2 linked regions of the Lonchura striata genome follow. The protein of the gene in region 1 interacts with the protein of each later gene in a pairwise test. Links are inferred from orthologs where the notes say so. Each region holds a gene or a part of one and is shown in the gene's direction. Other genes may lie near its edges. The genes, in order: DAB1 and MBNL1.

The links.
Region 2: the proteins of DAB1 (region 1) and MBNL1 interact in binary tests that used the Homo sapiens proteins (3 or more experiments, as listed by UniProt). The link is inferred for Lonchura striata from reciprocal best matches to the Homo sapiens genes DAB1 and MBNL1.

Annotation. Positions count from the first base shown.
Region 1 is NC_134611.1:7,729,698-7,740,973, forward strand, and holds the start of DAB1 (disabled homolog 1), read left to right. Parts: upstream 1-6,247; 5' UTR 6,248-6,448; intron 6,449-11,276. UniProt on the Homo sapiens protein: Signaling adapter of the reelin-mediated signaling pathway, which regulates the migration and differentiation of postmitotic neurons during brain development.
Region 2 is NC_134612.1:26,690,863-26,702,228, reverse strand, and holds the start of MBNL1 (muscleblind-like protein 1), read left to right. Parts: upstream 1-5,610; 5' UTR 5,611-5,628; intron 5,629-9,643; exon of another isoform or gene 9,644-9,738; intron 9,739-9,902; exon of another isoform or gene 9,903-9,978; intron 9,979-11,366. UniProt on the Homo sapiens protein: Mediates pre-mRNA alternative splicing regulation. Acts either as activator or repressor of splicing on specific pre-mRNA targets. Inhibits cardiac troponin-T (TNNT2) pre-mRNA exon inclusion but induces insulin receptor (IR) pre-mRNA exon inclusion in muscle.

The DNA of each region.
Region 1 (11,276 bases):
AAGGGCCTTGTTTTTAATGAGACAATGTTTGCAAACACCTTTATTACTTGAGACAATCCAAAAGGAAGGAAAGGAGACGGAGCATGTAATTGTTCTCTTAGGGCTGGTGGTGGGATGCTGTTTACTGAACAAGGAGTTAGGAAGGAAGCTCAGAAGTCTCGTGGTTGGGATTTGCTCACAGATGGAACTGGCAGTGACAGCAGAGCCTGGGATCAGCTTCAGCCAGCAATGGCTCTTTTTTCTCCTGTTTCCCTGGGTAACCTCCTCAATCACTTAGGATGCACCATGGTATGTCACCTTCCGCTCCTGGCTCGCTCCTTCTGATGTTTCAAGCACCCTCAATGCTCTTAATTTCCTTAAGTGTTAAGGAAAGTAATACCTGGTATCTGTAAGGTAGTGCTTGATGGGATAAAGTACTTTGATAAGCCCTTAATTATAAGGATTCTTGTAATTTGTTGACTTCCCTTCTCAGCAACAGTGAGATGTTTCTACCACGAGGCCTTCTCAGCGTTGTCATTTGACATAATTCTGCTGATTTCATTAACTGTCACTGTTTTTTTTTTTTTTTTTTTTTTTGCAAGTCGATCACAATGATTGATTGATTAGGAAAATAGGTTTTATCATCCTTAGTCTCCAAATTGAATAGTTGTAGCAGTTGGATTAGGTTAATCCTGGCAGTATCCTCCTTTGGCTGATTTCCACTGCTGAACGGAGCCGCCCCTCCTGTCCCCCTCTGCTCCCCTGTGAATTAGGGGATTAAGAGAAGAGGTGCTTAAGCTTAGCCCTTGATTGACACATGGTTATGCAAATTGTGAAGGAAACCCTGAGATTCCTGCAATCTAGCTGGAATATTGGAGATGTCTTCAACGTGCGAGTGTAACAGAACCAGCAACACCCAGTGAAAGCAAGGCCCACTTACAGGGAATTCATGATCTTGAACCCATTTTCAACTCCTGAAATCTTTGTAACCTTGAGATCCGTGTGCCCCCTGAGCAGCTGGAGGGGAAGGAGTGTGTTTTGAACAGGCAGGAGGCAGTAACTCGTGTGATGTCTCAGAATGTTAGATAAACCCTCTCATTTCCACACAGACATGGAGGTGAAAGACAGAACAAAATGGCTCTGTCGTCTGCCATGGGCTGCAAGGGAGACTCAGTGTGTGTGATTAAATAATGAATAAAATAGCCTTGCAAATGATAATGTTATATTGTAAATAATTCCATTTGTTTACCCTACTGTGGCATTGAAGTTCATCTCCCTTGGAGACTTCTCTGACTTTTGATGCTGTTTTGCTTTGCATATGCTTGATTCTTTTTTATTTTTTTTTCTTGCTTTCCACAAAATCTTCATAAAGGTTCGGGAACTGACAGGGCTAAGTGAATAATTCACAGCAAACAAAATTTTGGATGAATTTAGCATCTTTATTTCTGTAACAAATAGCCCTACACACATTCTGCATGTTTTGCACTAATTTATTGCTAAATCAGTTTTAAGTATGACTTCCACTCAAACCACCATCAATCCTTCTATTTTTATGAAAGAGGATATAAACTGTACTCTGGAAATAGCTGGGTTTAGAAATGAGTTTATTTGTGACTGGAAAAATATGTATTGCTTTTGTTTCCTGCATGAATGGCTACAGAATTGCTATTGGTACAAATATGTCCAAACATAATATTTGGCAATGTGAATCTCAATTTTTAAGTTATTTTTAAAATTCATATTTAAACTACTCAAGTTTGATCTCTCAAATGCTTTAGAAAGGAAACACAAAGCAATCAAAAGACATCTATGTTTTCCTCTAGAGAAATCATATGGAGGAATATATTTTAAAGAAGAAATAGTGCAATTACTATTAGTATAATTAACTTGACTTCTACCTTGGAGGGCAGTATTATTTTTTTTGGTGGTGACTGCTGCATAAAAATACAAAATTATTCTTTCAGTGGATGAAGGGTGTGGGCATGTATATTGTGGTTGTATAGCCAGATTAATGTTTATACCTAAATATTAATTCGAAGATTGGAATCAAATGCATGTAATGGATGTTCAGTGATGCAATGCATTTTAGTGTGAAGCATGTCAGAAATCCCTTTTAACTTCCTGTAGGTATCTGTGTATATATCTGTGTGAATCTGAAAGATGTAAAGTCAGGTCAAAGTATCTGATCTGCCTCCAGACTGTGCCACTGGTCTGTCAGCAACTGCTTCACTTCCACTGTCTGACAAAAACTGGGGTAATGACACCTGAATGAAGTTCCATGAGATCCATGGGTGGGAAGTGCTGAAATGAAAACATTGCAGTATAAAATTCAGACATTTATCTCTGCATAGAGACTCATGGTATTCCTGGGCATGTATTTGATCAAGTATCTCTGTCATTACTAAAACAGAGACCTGAGGTTTCTGTTTTGGGTTTTTTGGGGGTTTTTTTAGGCGCCACCAGAAGATGCATATCCTACCTGAGAAAGCCAGGAGTTTCCTAAAGTCATAAAAAAGAAGGAAAAAAAGTCCCCAAGCAGAGATGAAGGATGATGACAAGACAAATCAAACATCTCTTTTGGACAGAGATAAAAGCTTGTGAGATGTTTGCATTGATCCTCACCTGGAGGTTCTGTGTTTGGAAGTTTTGAAGGTTTGGGGGAGAACTGAGGTACACCAGTGAAGGTGGGTTTGGTTTCCTCATAGGAATTTTGGGTTGAGTAGATGCTAGGACCTGAGCTGCTCTCAGAGACATCTGATGGGGCTTTGAGCAACCTGACCTAGGGAGAATGAGGACATCTACACAACAGGGAGTGGAATGAGGACATCTCCAAGGTCCCTTCCAAGCCAAACCATTCTGGGGCTCTGTGATTCTGTGTACTTCCTGCAGCTCAGATGCTTTTGGAATTCCTGGCTCTGGAGCCCTTCTCATGGCATAGCAGGTGGTATTTTGTTTCCAAGCCCAGAAGGATGAGACTTGTGTAATTTGCTCTGCTTTGAGTACACAAGCTGAAGCCTCCACACTCACAGAGACCTCGGTATCAACGCCAAGATGTGGAGGTAGTTGTTTTTTGTTCGTGCTCCATTCCTATATGAAACTTTTTGAGTAACAATTAAAGGAGGGCTCTGAGATAAGCTGAATAATGGTGAAACAAAGGTACCTGCAGTGTGCTGCCTGCTCCCCTGTTGTCTTAGAGCAGCGTCTGCTGTAACTGCTGGGTACTGTGGCAGGGAAATCTCCTCCTCATTTCCATTTCAAACTCTGCCTGCTCTGAGATGAGGATAATCAGTCCCTCACTGCAGTTGTGCACTGCAGCATCTTCCCCTCCTGCTCCCTCTCCCGAGGCTCGCTCCTTTGCTGGCCCAGCTGTTTGTGGCTCTCTGCTTCCCAGCTGACTCCGAGGCACTGGAGCTCTGTGGGAGCTCTCCAGCGTGCTCCCATTCACGGGCACTTATGTGGCTTTTCTGCTCACACATCTGCGCTTAAGGAATGGAAATTCATGTCACTTGCATAGAGATTTCTTTCCGTGATCTTTTGCAAGCATTTCCCCCCCATACTGTATCTCTTTGTTTGGATGGGATTGCAGAGGAGGATTTGTACATCCATGCTCTTGGTGCATCATTAATGCTCTTTCTAGGAGAGCTGAGAGCATTCCCAAAGCCCAGGGAGCCAGTCGTACCAACAGCAAGCTCTTCAACCCAACTGGTTGTCCTGTCTAATCTTTGGCAAGTACTTTTGCTAAAAGCAGGGAGGAATCTATACTGGAGTTGGAACTAAACCCTCATCTCTCACATCCCACTCGGCATCAGGATCACAAACCCACAACTGAGGCTTTATTCATTGTTAAGTGAACCTGGCAGATCTTCTACCAAACTCTGCTCTCCAAAATCAGACAAGAAGACATCATGAGGGAAACTATTGGGGTCTAGAAATCAGAGACACCATAACTTAACACCAGAAAGATGCAGGACCTGAGGTTTGACAGGTATATTTGCAAGAGTTGTATCCCTCACATGGATGTGATGGGTAGGAACAGACTGGGCTGGCAGACTGCAGGTTCAGTGCTGTTTAAGAGGTCTGATTCCTCTTACCTTCCTCACCCAAACCCCAGGAAAGAAAGTGAATGGAAGAAACTCCGTGTTAGAAGGGCAGACAGGGAACATCTCAATCACATAATCAATAAGATATTTGACAGCTTTATTCATCTTTTATCACCCACAAGTTAAGGGTAACAAAATGTCTGAAGCAGCCATTACTAAACAGCTCCGGGTTTGGATGGAAGAAGCCCATTAAGCATAAAGAGCTGTTACTCCTGCAATAAATACGTGACACAGGAGAGCAGGTAAGAGATTGGGGCCAGAAAAAGTGGTTTAGTCAAATGTGTCAGGTCACAGTGACAAAAGGTTAACAGCCTGTCACATGGCACATGCCCACAGCCACCGAGTTTTGCAACTATTAACACCTCTCTCTGCCATGACGTACAATAACCAGAGATCCTTAAGGATCTTACATATGAAGGAATATGTAAAGCAGCTTAAGTCTCATTCTCTAGCTATTACAAGCTTGATCTCCTAGAATTAGACAGAAACTTTAATCGCTGTCTCACTGCTGTGCTTTGCGAGCTCACGCATGATTTTCTGCCTTGCCAGGGATTAATGTTGCTGTTTTGTGACATCCCACTGAAAGAATGGACAAGGAAGAGCAAGAAATGTATCTGTGCACAGACTGTAATTCTCCTTCCTGAGCACTGCCCAGCAGGCCAGGCACCTATTGACAGAGCCAGCTTAGGTCAGAGTTTGCCAGAGAAACACTTAACATCCATCTGTGAACAGCAAGGCAAGCAGGATCTACCGTGGCTGTAATACTCAGAAGTATTTCTGCCGTCAAGGGCAACGTTTTCGAGCATCAGGAACAGACACCTTGCTGCACAGAACCGAACCTCTTGTGGGACAGCCAGGCAGAATCCCAAGGAAGGGCAGGCAGCACGGGAAGAAGGGTGATAGCACATCCCACTGGGCCCGGAACGCCTTCACTGGATGCGAGGCGCCCAGCTCCGCTGCCCGGGCTGTGCCCAGGTGCTGCCCGTTGTCCCAGCGCGGCTGGGCAGGGAGGGCTCAGGTGTCCCGGCTCCCACACCGCGGTGCCGTGAGGGGGGAGCCGCGCCCGGGCCAGCCCGGGCTGGCAGGGCTCCCTCGGCCGCCTGCGGCAGGAGGGCCGGGCCGGGCCGGGCCGGGCAGGGCAGGGCAGGGCCGGGACAGGCAGGGCAGGGACAGGCAGGGCAGGGCAGGGCAGGGCAGGGCAGGGACAGGCAGGGCAGGGACAGGCCGGGCAGGGCAGGGCAGGGCAGGGCAGGGACGGGACAGGCAGGGCAGGGCAGGGCAGGGCAGGGCAGGGCCGGGCCGGGCCGGGCCGGGCAGGGCAGGGCCGGGCAGGGACAGGCAGGGCAGGGCAGGGCAGGGCAGGGCAGGGCAGGGCAGGGCAGGGCAGGGCAGGGACGGGACGGGACAGGCTGGGCAGGGCAGGGCAGGGCAGGGCAGGGACGGGCAGGGATAGGCAGGGCAGGGCAGGGCAGAGCAGGACAGGGACAGGCAGGGCAGGGACAGGCAGGGCAGGGACGGGACAGGCAGGGCAGGGACAGGCAGGGCAGGGCAGGGCAGGGACGGGCAGGGATAGGCAGGGCAGAGCAGGACAGGGACAGGCAGGGCAGGGACAGGCAGGGCAGGGACGGGCAGGACAGGGACAGGCAGGGCAGGGACAGGCAGGGCAGGGCAGGGCCGGGCAGGGCAGGGCCGGCAGCCGGGCGCTGCGGGCCCCGGGGGCTTCCAGCGGGAGGGCAGCGGGCCGGGAGCCGCGGCCCCTCGCAGGGGAGCCGGGCGAAGGACTCCGGGCCGGAGCCGCCGGAGGGGCTCCCCGCGGCCCGGGCGGGGCGGGGGGCTCCGCTGCCGCTGCCGCTGCCGGGGGATGCGGTAGCGCGGAGCTGCAGGGCACCGGCGCCGCCTCCGCCCGCGCAGGCTCCGCGCCAGCAGCGCCGCAGCCAGCGAGCCCCGGGCGCGCAGCCCGCCCGCCGCCGGAGGAGGAGGAGGAGGAGGAGGAGGAGGAGGAGGAGGATGAGGATGAGGATGAGCATCAGCGGGAGCGGCGCGGCTGCAGGTAGGAGGAGGCGCGGGGGGAGCCGCCCCATCGCCGCCGTGCGCGGAGCGGGTCCCGGCGCCCCGCGGAGCCCGGCGGAGTTAACGCAAAGTTTTTGCGGCGGGAGGGAGGCGCTGGCGCGGCGGAGCCGGCGAGGAGGCGGGGAGCGATGCTCGGGCGGCGCGGTGCCGCCCGCTCCGCCGGCCGGACGGGCGAGCGGGGATGCGAGCGGAGCGGGAGCCGCGCTTCGGGGCCGTGCGCGGGGATTTAACACTGCCACAGCCGGCCACGGGCAACTTCGAGCCCTAGCGAGCATCTCCGAGCCGTGCTGGGAATGAACGTGAGGCACCGCTTCCTTTCTATTTGTGTGTGTGTGTGTGTGTGTGTGAGAGAGACTCCCGAGCAGGGTTTTCTCGCCATCCACCTCTGCGTGCCAGCCGGGAAGGGGCAACTTGAACCAGCTGTCCCCTCTTGGGTTAATATTTACAGCCCGAATAAATATTTTGTTGCCCTTCTACCTTCTTCTCGACGCCTTCTTGTAGTCGAGATGATTAATCAGGGATGTTAGTGGCCAACTAGGCATAACCTTGTAGAAAAATAATTATGTGAGGATATATGGGGTTTGACTAGTGATGTGATACAGAATACACCCAGATCTCGGTAGTTGCTTCCCCATGTGTGCACGTTCAGTGTGTTTTTGATTTTGAATGGAAATATAAGTGTAATGATAAACATGTTACTTCCAGGGGAAGAATGTTATTTTCCTTGCCAGTGAAATATACAGCAGCTTCAAAGTAAAATGTGCATATCTGTGGATATAGAGAGGGGTTCTCTTTTCTGGTCAGTCACTAAAATGTTTTTCTCCCTTTTGAATGTGGTCTTTCTAGTGGTGCTGGTTGCTTTGCATGTTTGGTTTGCAGAATGAATTTCATTTCAGTGCCCTCGGAGTCTCGAGAGAAGAAGTGCACTGCTGTGTCTTCTGAGGCTGGTTGTTTTAACTGATCTTGTTAAATAATGCTATTATTAAATGATGGCAAATTGAAGCAAATGTGTTTTTCATTGCCCACAAGTTGTGTCTCTGAGCTAAATCTCTTTTTATGGCTGGAGAGGCTCTTGCACTGCAGTATTACAATACAGCCATATTAAAAAGGTCCTTGGAGCAAATAACCCTCTAATGCTGCAGCTATGTTTTCAGTAGACTTCAGTAGTTCTGTGGGAAGTGATTATGTTGGATTTAAGGAATCTGGGTAGAATTGCTTGTGCTTTTTTAATTGTGGTGTTAAACTGCCTGTAGACGTTGGTGTAAGTGGTAAATCTAGACCCAAAATCTAAAGAAGCAAAGCTCCAAACCCAAGGCTTTATTTGTGATGAATTTTTTTTTTTTTTTTTGCAACAGGTTTTTCTGTTTTTTTTTTCTTTTTTTTTTTTCCTTTTCCTTCCTTCCTTCTCCCTTCAGTTGGCAGAGAGGTCTCCAGCTTTAATGCCTTTCCTTGACCAAGCAGAGTGCAGTGGGAGATGATACCATCATTCTCCTCTTGTATGGTTTATTCTGTCTCTGGTGCTGCAAAGAATGAAGGCGAGTCAGACTAGAGATAAAAGGGAGAGAAGATGCCTGAGGTTGACGGTGTTGGCAAATTGATTGATTAAGGTTTGTTCTGAGGAACCCCACTAGATTTCAGGTGGTTTCTTTGGGATGTCCTGCTGAAAGCACAGGTCAGCATCTATCCTTCAGTGATTTCACACCAAATTCTCTGGTGTGTGCTTGGCAGGTGTGAAAAGCAGACATGGAACTAAGCTTCTAATGTCAATATTTGGTGCTAAAAGATTAATTTTGAGCAGAAGACAAACAGTTTGGTTACTTTTCTTTAACTACAGCTCTTCATTACTGGTTTTTGTTTGCTCTAGTAAACAAACCCATAGATCTTAAAATTGAATTAAGTGTATAAACTGCTTGAACCAGAGAGGGGAGACAGACTAATAAATAAAGAATTAAGCTATTGTGCCATTGACTGGCTGATTACAGCTTTGGCCTGATCACTCAAGCAGTGCTCCAAGCAAGCTCTCCATGCCCAGCACTGTTTTTTCTGGATTGGAGGATGGGAACGCTGGTGGTGACTGGGGGGTGATGTCTGCTTGACTGACAGACACTTATTGCAGAGTGGCACTCACTGCTCTGTAATTTTGCCTCTGTAATGATTTTCCCCAGAGAGCTGACAGAGAATTAAAACGTTTATGATCAGGTTTTTTGGAAGGGTTCCTCAAGATGCAGAGAGGAGGGCAGGGAAGTCCATCCATTTTTAGATCTTGCTAATCCCTTGTGTTGTTCCTGTAGTCATGCTAATTTTTATTGATTGTCATGGCAGTAGCTGTTTCAGAGCACAGAAGTGGAAATGTTTCACTTCATTCAGGGTAATCCTAAAAAGAAATCAAAGTGGGAAGGAAGGAGTGGCTGAAAGAGTTGTCTCACTCCAGTCTTTTCTTCAGGTTGTTCATGAAACAAAGGCAATAAACAGTTCGTGCACTTTTGAAATCCAATTTCTGTGAGAGGACTAAAGTTTCCATCCTGTGTTTGCTGTAAATGCAATATAATCTTGACACTACCTATCATAAGGATGCAAACCTCAAAGTTCTCCTGCTCAAGCCCATTTCTCCACTGGAGCAAAACCATGGGAACAGAGGAGTCTGTGGTGGAGGATGGATGTCATATCCCATGTGGATGTCAGCTGTGTGCAAAAGGAGCTGAGCTGGAGTCAAGGCTGGCACCCAGGCAGCAGATGACAGAAAAGTGTCATTGATTTCTGGTGACCAGCTCTAATCAAACTCATGTGTGTGCTGAGATCAGGAACACGCTCTGTGCTTCTTTAACCATCTGATGGTGACCTAAAAATCCCTCTGTGATCCATCTGTGCTCATCAGGTGAGCCTCAGCCAACACTGGTGCCTGGTATTCACCCTCTGAATTTCCTCACTCAGTTCCATACCCTTCCCTAGGCATGTTTGCTGCAGAAGCAGGATGCTGTTGGAGCTTTCCCATCCCCCTGTTCCATCCACACTTTGGCAAGGGAATTAAGCATGATGTTGCAGCCAGTCCAGTGTGGAGCTGACAAATAGTGACACCTCCTTCCAGGGAAAAAGGAGGAGGGTTAGGATATTCAGGAGAAAATCCCAGAATGGGTGTATTCCCCATGTTCCCCATTTTTCTGACTGCAGCCTCTCTACAATTGCTCTCTCGGATTTTTGAGGATGTCCTTCTGCGTCCAGAGCTCTAAAGAAGGACTAAGTGGTGTGTTTGTGGGTTTATGCTTAACCAGGGATGCAGGAGCAGGCTGGAAGGGAAAACAAGCCAATCTCAACTGCTGCTAAGAGCTCTTGGAAGTGGGAATGAGAAGTATTCTTTTGAGTAACATGGATAGCAGGTGGAAATGACCCTATACACAGTGTCTATAAAACAGTGTGTTGGATAAAATGATCCTATTACAGGAAGTGCAGAGGGCAAAAAACCTAAGCAGTCTTGACAATCATTTTGGGATTGTTCTGCAAGAAAATCAAAGGCTTGTCAGTTTTTGCTTTTATGCACATAAATCACCTTTGCTCCTCCTGTTTCATAAAATGCACTGGGTCAGGACTTTTCTTGCCTCTATACTGTTGTGAGTATTTACAGTAGAATACACGTAGCACACAAAAGGAGATTCATATTTCACAGCACTTTCATTTTTCATCAGTTTGCCAACTTAAAGAGCCTCCAACTTCCCTTTAAAATAGCATGAACATTTGCAAGCCAGTTAAAAGGAATGAGAAACATTCTGATATTCCTCTTCTATAACCACAGATTGATGCATTCAACAGCCAGCTCCTTTAATTCTTCCAACATTTAAACATGAGTGACTTAGTGCAAAAAAAAAAAAACACTATATGAATTTTTACTCCTGTTTTAATGTAGCAGAGCCCTATTGAAGTCAAAGCAAGTGCAGCTGGTTCCTTAAGCTGAGGATATGGCCCAAAAAAGGACTTTCCTAATTGGCAGGAGGCTGGTTTGGTATCATTCCTTGCAGGGCAATATTTTAGGAAAAAATAGAAGAAAAAAAATCTTACTAACATCAGAGGGATTTCTCATTTGTAAAGTTAAATGCTCCTCAGTGAGAGGTGAGGGGATTACTCCAGCTCAGAGAGTGTTTTCCCTGACTAATATATCCAAAATGTATGTTGGGATTGCCCAGCACTGATAATTCACACACCTCTGGAGTGGAATACAGCAGCCATTCCAGGCTGGAAACATTATGCAGGAGGGGTTTAGGGAAGAGAAATGAAGAAAAACTAATCCAATTGAAACTGCAAGGGGAATTTAGGAAGCAGAATGCAATTATCCGAGTTGGATATTGGCCAGGACGTGTTAGTTAACATTTTTACTCTTGTGGGAGTTTTCATGGGATCTTTAATGACGATGAATGGTCAAGGCTCTATTTTACATCTCATTTGAAATCCTGAGCTTTCACTTCTTCATGAGGATGAAGGAAGCTTTGCCTTCCTTCAAGTTGAGTTGCTTTAGTGAATCTGCTTTCCTCCCACAGGGTCAGGGCTCTCTGGGCACACCTGGCAATTCCACCTGGCCATGGGTTTTCTTCACCCTGAGCTGCTGAGTCAGAAGCAAATCCCAATACTCAGCATTGCACATCAAAGCCCAAATTCCAATTTAAGAGATCTTCATGTGGAGAATATTCCCTACAGTTCAACTGGCCATGGCATAGCATCACAGAATGGTTTGGGTTAAAAACCTTAAGTTTTTTGGCTTAAAAACATTAAAGATCAACTCATTCCAGCCTCCTGCCATGGGCATAATTCCCTCCTTCCCTAAGAACCAGACTGCCAGGTTTCTTCCCTGTTTTATGGGGACTAATGGATGATGGAATCATCTGTCAATAGTAAATGTGATAAATCTTATTGAAACCGGCATTCCAGGAGAAAGGAGTGGATGCATAAAATATTTTCTTCTCCATAATCACAATTTTCCATTTAGTTATCTGAACTTGAATCCTTTCTGAAGCAAACAAGCCAACAGGCACTTCTTCTCTATAAAAATTCAGTGTCTGGTTACAAATGTATATATTAGTGCTTTTTGGTATTCAGGCAAGGCAAACAGTAGGATGGCAGTTTGCTTCTCGGGGGGAGAAG
Region 2 (11,366 bases), on another chromosome or scaffold:
CAGTGAAGTAATGTGGCCTCTTGTATGCTGTGAACCCAATGCCGTCCCCAAAATACTTCATCTGTGTTGGTTCATTCCTCAGGCTGGGAAAATGTGTGCCGGGCCAGGCGATCCCCAGAGCTGCGGTGTGCTACCCGGTCCTGACCCGGGCCAGGGGATTCCCAGAGCTGCGGTGTGCTACCCGGTCCTGACCCGGGCCAGGGGATCCCCGGAGCTGCGGTGTGCTACCCGGTCCTGACCCGGGCCAGGGGAGCCCCAGGGGAGCCCCAGAGCTGCGGTGTGCTACCCGGTCCTGACCCGGGCCAGGGGAGTGCCAGAGCTGCGGTGTGCTACCCGGCTCTGGCCGGGCTGTGCCCCTCCCTGCCCCGGGCCAGGGCAGGTCCTGTCCCGCTGCCCAGCCCGGCCCCAGCAGCAGCGGCAGCGGCCGGACCCCGCTCGCCGGGACCGCTCGGTCTGAGCGCTCGGGGCCGAGCCCCGTGCCGCAGCTGCGGAGCCCCGTGCCGGCAGTGCAGGGATGCCCTCCGCTGCCGCCACCGTGCCGGGCACCGGGGCCCGGCGGGGACACGCTGGGTGCCGCGGCTCCCGGCTGGGCGCTCCCGGCACCCGGCTGTCTGCGGGCGGGCCGGCGACACCGTGTCCCGGCAGGTGCCGGAGCCGCTGGCCGTGCTCGGCCCTGCTGCCCCAGCCCGGCACTGCCCGGCGCGGCACTGCTCCGGCACGGCACTGCCCAGCTCGGCCCGGCACTGCCCAGCCCAGCACTGCCCCGGCCGCAGCTCTCCCGCCGGCCGCCCCGCGGAGCTCGGGCAGCGCTGCCCGCTCTGGCACGGCCCGGCCCGGCACGGCCGGCCCCGCGGAGCTCGGGCAGCGCTGCCCGCTCTGGCACGGCCCGGCCCGGCACGGCCGGCCCCGCGGAGCTCGGGCAGCGCTGCCCGCTCTGGCACGGCCCGGCCCGGCACGGCACGGCCGGCCCCGCGGAGCTCGGGCAGCGCTGCCCGCTCTGGCACGGCCCAGCCCGGCACGGCCCGGCACGGCCGGCTCCGCGGAGCTCGGGCAGCGCTGCCCGCTCTGGCACGGCCCGGCCCGGCCCGGCCCGGCACGGCCGGCCCCGCGGAGCTCGGGCAGCGCTGCCCGCCGCGCAGCAGAAGCCGCTCCGGCGGAGCGATGCGGCCGCTTGTGCCCGTGAGCCCAGGTCGCGAGGGGAGCGGGCTCGGCCGTGCCGGGCCGGTGCAAGGGCTGTGACACTCACACCGGCGTGCAGGTACGCACAGGCTGCTGGCAAAGGGTGTGGGGCTGGTGCTGGGCACTGCTGGGGCCAGTGCTGCTAAAACACGGGGAAACAGAGCATCCCTGTTATTTGGCTAAAAATATGGGCGTCGCTAAGCCACGTCTGCCTCGCTCCTTATACCATAATATTGCAGTGGAGGCATCGGCCAAGTAGCAACAACCCTCCAAGGTCCCATAGAAATGAAACCAGACTTTGAAATGTAATTTTCATGTCCTTCCTTGGCAGGAGGGGACTGTTGCTCCCTGTCACTGCCTGCCGGTCTGTGGCCATGCTGGAGCACGGCTGGGTTATGTAGCGTGGGGCTGTATGAAAGGCTGTGCATTATTGCTGCCCTTTGGAAATGTCTCCATGCTAGGAATTGCTGTGTTCTTTGTGAAGGCAGACTCACCTTGAGTTTCCACTTGTGCCCCTTGGCAGTTTCCCACCAGAATACTTTTAAACATGGCTGGTTTGGGTCACAGATGCACAAATCCTCTGGAAGAAAAAGGGATACTTTGGTAAAACTCCACATCTTTCACCAGAGCAGCTTTTCCTGCTCAGCAGCAGCCCTGCTTTGTGTTAAATAGTGAGAGTAACTAGTAAGTAGTTGTCTGTGTTTTTTCCCTGAAGAATTTCTTTGTTTGTAAATGTGGCTGCGAAGTGTTGATGCCTCTGTCATTTAGGGGACAGGCGGTGCCCCCACGGCTGGGCAGCTCAGATTGGAAATGGTAGGTTTGGAGATGGGTTCCAGGTGCCCGAAGTCCTGGTTGTAGAGGAGGTTTGGAGATGCTGCCCGTGTGCTGAGGGTGGCAGGAGATGCGGGTCCAGCCCCACCTGCACCCCTGGCTCTGGCTGGGAGCGCTCTGCCCTGGGAGAGCTGCGGGCAGCACCCCAAATGTGCCTCAGCATCCCGGGCACCGCGCTACCGGCGAGCCTCAGCCCAGGGAGCCTCACCCAGATGATATGTGAGAGAAACGAGGAACATTTCCAGGAGCTAATATTTAATTTGGCTGCATCGGTGCGAGCAGGAATGTGCCATTGCTCTGGAAGCCCAGGGAGGCTGTGAAAGGCAGGGAAGGAGGGGAGTTCCACTGGCTCTCTGCCAGCCACTGGGATGATAGCAAGCAGCATTGAAAAAGAAAATTAAATAGAGTCCTAGGCCTGAAAATCTGCAAACTTCTTAAAACTATCTTTTATTTTATACCTGGATACGTTTAGTGAAAAAGATTTAAAAAGGTAAAGAATACAGGAGGGATGCCTTTAGTAGCATCACTTGTTTGGGATCTACCTTTTGAAAGGGAAAAAATGCCAAACAAAGCAAATAAGTGTCTGTTGCTACACCTGGTGCACTTTGCCTTTACATATGAATTTAACTTTTGGGACTTATGTGTTTTATTTTTTGAGCCAACCTTGTCCTCCTTTATGGCTGGACTCAAACAATCCTTTCTGGGATGGAACTCAGGGATGTTGAGATGCTCCCACTCCTGCCCAGTGCCAGCCAGGCCAGTGTGCCCATGGCAGGTCTGCCTTGGTGACACAATTCCTCCTGGAAAATACAGAAGCTGCCTAAACAACACAAGGTACAAAAGGGTCAGGTTATTATTATTTCTGGGGTTTAATATAAAAACATGGGGATCCTGCTCCTGGTTCCTGTATCAAGGAAGGGACCTTTGTTTCCAATCTGGATCTGTTTGACACGATATCCAGCAGGAAGGCAAAGCTGTTATCTCCAATGCTGGGATGGAAATGAGGAGCAAGGACACTTTATCTCCTAATGAGGGAGAGATGAGATTGTCCATATGTTTCCCACATTTCCTCTGATTCAGATAATCTTTTACAGATTAACCAGAGACTTCTTATTCTTTGCAAACAAAACAAAATGCTCCTGCCCCTAAAAACTTTACAGTCATTATTTTTCAAAACAAAGAAGTGACCAAAATTTGGAAAAATAATAAGGATGGAGTGGGGTGATTGGTCAGACACAGTCAGCTTTAGTGAGAAAGAATTAAAGCTCCTGAAATGTTGGGAACAGAAACCCCTTCAGCAGCATCGTGACATGGGCTGGTCTCGCTGGCTTTCTGAAGGAACTCATTATTTTAATAATTGCAGCCTAAGAAAACCTTCAGGCTTTGGACTCTTCAGGAATAATAACAAAAAAAAAGGCAAAAAGCTGGGCAGTGTTGTCATCTGTCTCACCACGACTGCTCACCCTGTGCAGTCTGAGGTCGACGACACATTTCAGCTCAATTCAGAACCAGCGCCACAAAGCACACCATGGCCTGAGTGACAATGTGTGTCTGTAGTGAGTATTTGGTGAGCAGTGTTACTCATCAGAGCATGAAGAGTCCCCGTGCTGCATGTCTGCCAGCACAGGGAAGGCGGGTGGGCTCTGCTCTCTGTTTGCAGCCCGGGCAATCACGTCAGATGAAGCGGGGCTGTTTGCTAGCTCACTGTGCCTGGCAGTCCCACAGCTGTACCAAGAGAAAGGAGAAAATCTGTCATTGCAGCCGAGATTTTCACACTAGACCTGGGCCCCTCTCCATGGCGGCCTCTTTTCTGATGGAGGCCTTGAGGATGTTGGGTTTCTGCACAGATAGCTGACACCCATGGGAAATTTTATCTGTTGTATCTCTCTGGGTGAAATTTCTGGGTACCTTTCACCCTTATCGGGGGTTTTACTCTGACCGAGGTACAGAACCGCTAGGAATTCTAGAGAAGGTTTCCTGAAGAGACAGGAAGATAGATTTGAGTGTTTGCAAGGCTGGAGGAAACCTGGGATGGCTGCAGTGCCTGTACTCTGCTTGGAAAAAGGCTTCAGGATGGGAAGAGATCCCTATCCCCGCCAAAACACACAAAATTCTGTAATAGGAAAGATAATTCTCAGGTGACTATTGTAATTTATTTTATTATTTATTAGCGATTGAAATCAGGACTCGGGACTTGTCTGTCTCACCACAGGGCAGTTCTTGGAGCAGGCTCAGTGAGGAAGCGTGCAGACACAGAGACGTGCTCCCCCACTCCGCTGCTGGTGCTGCGGCCAAGCTGGGGCTGTGCCAGGCCGGGGCTGGCTGGTACCTGCCACGAGCCAGGCTCAGGGACTCGTGGAAAGCTGTTCCCCCCACTCCTGCAACACCCCGTGGGGTGGGATGGTGAATCCAGCAGCGCTCTGCTGCAGGGCAGGAGCAGAGGGGGACACACCGGTGCAGGAGCGGAAAGAAACAACAGGAAATCCTGTGCATGGCCGTGCTGGCTGCAGCGTCCCGCAGCAGCACTTCCAGGCTGCTCAGCTGCGTGCTGCACCTCCAAGCACGCCTGCAGCACGCCCCGAGCTCGGGCGCTGCAGGGCCGGGTCCCGGGGAGGTGGCTCCGCTCCCGGCACGGGGGCAGTGGGTACGAGCCTCCTGCTCCGGCTGCGGGGCACAGCTGGCACAGCCGAGGGCAGCCACGCGGCCTTTCCCCTGCAGCACGGCCCACAGAGCCCTTGCCCTGGGCCGTGCCCACCATGCCCGCTGCCGGGCAGGAGCCACTGCACGGGTTTACCAAAGCTGGCACGGCCAGTGAGGATAGGACACCATGGCGTTTTCCCCCCGGGCTGAGCGAGGGGAATTTCCAGCTGGCTCTGAGAGCTTTGGGTGGAAGGGCTGCTGGCTTTGGAAGCCTGGAGTTGGTGGTAACCCCAGCAGAAATAGCAAAAGTGGGCCCGAAAGTGCCTGGCAGGCGAGGCCAGCCACGCTGCGGGTGCCGGCGCTGGCCAGGCAGCCGTTATCTGCGGCTTGCAGCAGGAAGGAGTCGGGGCCACCGCCCCAGCATTGCCCCATTTCCAGGCAGGGAGCGCGGGCCATGGCCCATGTCAGCGGCCCGAGCCCGTTTCCCCAGCAGCTGCCAGCGGGCAGATTAATGGCTCGCAGGGAGACGTCTGCCAGTGCTGCAAGCCGCGTGTCCGTGTCCCTGCCACGAGCTCCCCGGCAGCGAGCCGGGCTGCAGCGCCATGCAAAGCACTTCCTCTGGCGTGTCCTTTTTTACTAGCAGAAAGTAATTTTTGCTTCCTTAAGAAAATAGATGTGCAAAGCCCAGCCCGTGGCCGTGGTTAGCGCTGCACGAAGGGCTCGCTTCGCTGCCTCGGCCCCATAGGTTCGGTAAGTGTCACTCTCTGGGCTGTCCCCGCTTCCCCCGGCCGGGCCGGCGTGCTGCGGTCGCAGAGAGCAGCAGGCTGTCATTGGCCCCGCGGCACCGGGGCGGCGGCTGTGCCAGCAGCGCTGCCGGCGCCCCGTGCGCCGCGCAGGAGCCCCGGGTGGGACGGAGGCACTGGCCCCAGCGCGGGGCCCGCCGAGCGCAGCAGGAGAGCGCGGCTGTCGTGATGGACGGTGAGTCGTTCACAAAGCTGGACGGTTTCATTGCCGTCTTTCATTGCGCTTTCGCGTACGTGCCTCGCTATCTTGAGTTAGTGAAGACTTCAATAATTTAGTAGAGAAATTAACACTAAATGCAAGATGGTTTTATGCAGGGCATGAGTAACAAAACTTTGTGGTTCTGAAGAGCATTAAAAGTTGCAGTCAGGCCCATCATAGACCCGCTGTGCTGCGTGCTGGGGGTCCACTGGGACCCCTGTGGTGTGGAGCTGCACCCTGAGTGGCAGCAGCCTGGTCCCAGGGACACGTGGAACAAACACGGCGCGGGAGCCACTGCCATGGCGCCGGTGTGTGCAACTTCTCTTTCTTCTGCTTTTACCACCGTTTTATCCGTTCATCACCTGTGGTGCTTACTGCGCTGGAAAAGCTAGAGAGGTTTTTGCATGCTTACAAGAGCCCTGTGAGCTGGTTTAACATCTGCTGTGTTCTGGCAGTAGAGCGGACACAGGGCTGGTGAGGCACCCCCGCCATGCTGTGCACCACTTTGGGTGCACTTCCCCGTGGGGCCGAGTGCTGCTCCTCCGCAGGGTCCTGCCAGCCCTGCACCACTTTGGGTGCATTTCCCCGTGGGGCCGAGTGCTGCTCCTCCGCAGGGTCCTGCCGGCCCTGCACCACTTTGGGTGCATTTCCCCGTGGGGCCGAGTGCTGCTCCTCCGCAGGGTCCTGCCGGCCCTGCACCACTTTGGGTGCATTTCCCTGTGGGGCCGAGTGCTGCTCCTCTGCAGGGTCCTGCCAGCCCTGCACCACTTTGGGTGCATTTCCCTGTGGGGCCGAGTGCTGCTCCTCTGCAGGGTCCTGCCAGCCCTGCACCACTTTGGGTGCATTTCCCTGTGGGGCCGAGTGCTGCTCCTCCGCAGGGTCCTGCCGGCCCTGGGCGAGGCAGGTGGGTGTCCATCCCGGGCGCGTTGCTGCTCAGCCCCTCTCCGGCACTCTAGGGGGCTGTTGGTTAAGTGCATGGGAGATTGAAATGACATTAATCCTCTGAGAGCAACCCTCAGCTTCCTACCGTGAAATCTGCTACTGCTGGCGAACGTCCCGCCAGTTTTCCGTGACTAAACACCACGTTGGATCGCATGCAGCAGCCGTGGGGCTGAGCACCCACACTGCTCCCGTGGGGCTGGGGCTGTGACCAGGTGCTGCTGGAGGGGCTCCAGCATGAGCTGCAGAGAAGGAAAGAAATTGCCTTTGCAGAAAAGGCAGAAGCTATAACGTCTGTCACAATTATTTGCTAGGAATTGCGCTGTGGATTTTTCTCATTTATGTGCTTGTAGACTAGGAGAGATTCTAAGTATCTTATTGCTTTCAACAAGAATGCTATCACACAGTAGTTGCAGGAGGCTTTAAAATAAAAGGACAAAACAGTGTAAGGGCCAAGTCATAAATTTGTGTGCTATATTTACAGAAATGCACATGCAGATGAGATCATTAAACCAGAAACAAATGTGCTCTGGCCTGGCGGGAAGCGGTGGCTGCGTGCGCCGTGCAGCAGCCGCGGGAGCGGGCTCCGGAAGAGCAGGGAGGCAGCAGGGCCTTCCGTGGCAGCCGCACTGGAGCTTGTGTCAGACCTTTTTGGGGAACTTGAGCTTCACCAGTGTTGCACAAATAAGGGCATCAGGAAGCAAACGGCTTCTCCAGGGTTGCAGTCATATTCAGTTCGGGTTTGAAGCAACTCGTGTGTCTGTCTTTAATGAAGGTTCAAGGAGAGAAGGAAAATCAGAGTATAGGTTGATTTAGTGACTGCTGTATTGCAGCTATTTGGTGAGATAAAATGAAGACACACTTGGAGCTCAGGTGGTTTCTGTCTGTGTGTGAGGCCGGGTACGGAGCCCCCCATGCTCCTAACAGGTGGGAGCCCGGCAGCGAGGAAGTGTTTTTGTTCTGCTCGAGGCGCAGCCGGGATGAGGATGCCCACAGGCACCCTCGTGTCAGGCTCTGGGACACACTGGTGTCCATGCTCCGGGTGACCACTGGCCCTGCTGCCTGCTGGGCTCAGAGGGAAGGGCAGGCACCTTGGCACCGTTTCCACTGGTCAGCCTCTCCCCTCAACAGCGCCAGGGCTGCCCTGACTCAGCCAGGAGAGCTCCTCTTCCTGCTCCACGTGCAATAGCTCACAGGGACTGTAAAACACAAAGTATCCCTCAAAAAACTTTCTTAGCATACAGTGTTTCTCTTTGTCCTCAAGTACCGATTTATGTCTTCAGGGCTGAGCGGCGCACGATGCAGTGTGCTATGACACATTTCTTTATCTTTGCTGTAAGACAATTAGTCTGTTGGAATCCCAGGTGGTGGTTGCTGTTGGCATTGGATGATGACCTGGGAGACCCCTGCATCTGAAATTTCCTTACGGTTTCCTCTTTACCCTGCCGTGCCTGGACATTCTGCTATGAGCTTGTGCCCGACGTCCATGCCTCAGGGTTTGATCTGCTGTAACCTGCATAAAGCAGTGTGAATGGAATGCATTCACTTTCCAGGATACTGTGAGAAATGCCATCACTGTGCCCAGGACACAGCTCCAGTCTCCCAGTGCCAAGACACTGTTCCACGCCATTATTTAAGAAGAATTTGGGCAGGGAGGAGTTTGTACAGAAACTTTGTGACCAGAAGTGCTTTGAAAACGCCCAGAGTGGTGATGTCGGTTCTCAGGGAGGAAATGGCCCCGGGAGCTCTTTGTGCTTGAGCGGGAACAGGAAGAGCACAAGTGGCCCAGTACAATGTTCACTCCCAGGGCCCATCGGGGCTGTGCAGCCAGGGCTGCTCTGGCTGGGGGACATCTGCGCTGCACCACAGCGAGGCAGGCAAATAGAAAATACAATGGGATACCAGTTGTCATGAGTTTTGTTCTGCTCTGGATTAAACTTCATTGAAACAAAAGTGTAAGAACATGACATTTTTCTGAAAGAAAATGGAATGCTTCTTTGTCCTTTCAGCCTCCCGTTTCTAGCAAAAAGCCATCAGAGTTAACCAGCAGGTATCAGAAAGCTCTCCCAGCCACTGAGGTGCCGGCACTCCCTCGGGCATGTGGCACACCTGGATGCTGCCCAGGCTGGGCAGCTCTGAGGAGGGATGCTCACTAAATCCATTCTGTTTCCAAAGTGCTGCCTGCTCCGCTGCAGGGGCGATTAGAGCACAAGAAAAGCAAAGTTAATTATATCCCCTCCAGGCTTGTAACAGAACAAAAAGCCTTATGAAGGAAGCAGCTGGAGTTAGATCTAGAGACCAGCTAACAAAATCTGTCTCCCAAAGTCAAGTGAGGAATTATTTGTCATTACTTCATCTCACAAAACAACCCTCTGCTTAGGTATCTGTGTTAAAAGACGTTTAACAGTACGTGACACTGGAGATAAACTCCCTGTCTCTTTCCTTGTCTCTTTTCAGTTTGTCTTTCCTAAACTGTGGTTAGCACCACGGTGGTCTGATGAGCCCTTTGCACATGACCCCGTGTGCGTGTCGTGGCAGGGGACACTTTGGTACACCTCTGGCTAATCTTTGTGCACTCTGCCGTCGGTGTCAGCCACACGGCCGGACCGACACCTGCCCTGTGACAGGGCCAGAGCCGAGCAGTCGCCCGGGCGGTGGGGCTGCGTCTCTGGAGGGCCGGAGCGGTGCAGCCGCTGCTGGTGGGTGCCGGGGGAGCCGTGCCAGCCCCCGCGGCAGCCGGCAGAACCAGCCGCTCTGCAACGGCTGCTGCGGCTCAGAGGAGGAGAGCAGGATCCTGCCGCCCGCTTTGGGAGCGGGTCCTCGGGGGACCGTGCTCCCCGGGACGGCCCTGGGGCTCTGGGGGACCGTGCTCCCCGGGACGGCCCTGGGGCTCTGGAGCCGCCGCGCTGGGCGCTGCGCGGCCGGGCCGGGCAGCGCCGCCCCTGCCGCGCCTCCCCGGCCGCGGGCGGCGGGGCCGGGCACGTGTGCGGGCCCGGCTCGGTGACTCATGAGGCGCCGGCCGCTCCGCCGCGGGGAGGATGAGGGAGGGCGGCCCCGGGGGAGGGCAGCCCGCCGCGCCGCCGCCCCGCTCCGCGCCTGCCCCTCGCTCCCGCGGTGCCCGGAGCGCGGAGGCCGCCCCGGGAGCAGGTGAGCGCGGCCGGCCGGGGCCGGGCCGGGCCGGGCCGGGCTCCCCGCGGGCCCGGGGCTGCCGGCGGGGCCGGGGCCGGGCGGCGCTTCCGGGCGGGGCGGGGGCGGCGGCGGAAGCGGGCGCGGGGCTGGCGCGGGGAGCCCGGGCCGCGCTGCCTCCGCCCGCCGCGCCGGCGGCGCCGTCAGCATGAGCGGCTGAGCGGGCGGGCGGGCCGGCACGGCCGCGCCGGCAGGCCCGGGGTGAGTGCGGCGTGAGGCCCGGCCCGCGGGCCGCGGCGGCGGCGCTCCGGGGCGGCTCCCGGGGAAGGGGGGCTCGGCGGGCCGGGACAGGCGCCGGGCTGCGCCGGGGCCGGGGCGGCTCCCGGGGAAATGGGGGCTCGGCGGGCCGGGACAGGCGCCGGGCTGCGCCGGGGCCGGGGCGGCTCCCGGGGAAATGGGGGCTCGGCGGGCCGGGACAGGCGCCGGGCTGCGCCGGGGCCGGGGCGGCTCCCGGGGAAGGGGGGCTCGGCGGGCCGGGACAGGCGCCGGGCTGCGCCGGGGCCGGGGCGCGGCCCTCGGGCAGGGTCCCCGCCGGGGCCCGGAGCCCGCGGCCGCGGGGCGCTCGGCAGCGCGGGGCCGGGGCTCGGGGCTCGGGGCTCGGCCGGGGCTCGGCCGGGGCTCGGGGCCGGGGCTCGGCCGGGGCTCGGGGCTCGGCCGGGGCTCGGGGCCGGGGCTCGGGGCTCGGCCGGGGCTCGGGGCCGGCAGCGCCGGGCGGCGGCGGGGGCGGCGGAGGCGGGCCCGGCCGTGCGGGCGCAGCACACGGCGGTGCGGGCGGCAGCGCCCCGCGCGCTCTCACCGCACGGCCTGGCCCCGGAGCTGCCGCCGTAGCCTGACGGAAAGAGAGGTTTCTGTTTCCTTTCTGGAGAAAGTTCTTGAATTCAGAACTTCGGTTGGCAGGTGCAAGCTAGTCAGTTTGTTACGACGGTGGTACAGTGGAAGAGAAAAACGCAGAGATGTTTGTGTTAAATGGTTGTCTTGGAAAAATGTGTGATTGGTTTTTTTTAGAAAAAAAGAAATAATTTCTTTCGGTGATTTTTTTGAAGTAGGGAATATATGCCCCTGGGAAAGGGAGAAGCAGGACATGGGTGACAGATAAAATAAGGAGAGCAGGGAAGGGATGTAATGGGAAAGAGGGATTGAAATAATGAATAGTAATGGTAAATAACTTAACTGGGTACATCTTTTTTAGCACTATGGAGAAGGGGTTCTAATGAAATGACAACATATTCCAAAGTGACAAGGAAATTATTTACATAATGAATAATTAACCGATGGCACTTGTTGCTGCAGGGGAAGTTCGGGGTGAGAGCTGAGGCGAGGTTGCAGGCTTCCCTCGGGCTGGCTGCATGTGACACTGACCCTGGGCAGGCCCGCTGGCATAGAACAGTATTATGATAATTTAAAGTAGATAAAAGAGGAAGAAATGAAAGGCTTGCTAACCCCGTTCTCACTGCAATGGTGACAGGACTGCTGCATGTGGAAGGCTGGGATGTGCCACTGCAGAACCAGGGGCGTTGGGAGTCTGGGCTGAAAGCAGGCATGGGTAGTGGCCAGTCCGGGTGTATCCCACAGCTGCCTCCAGCCTGGTT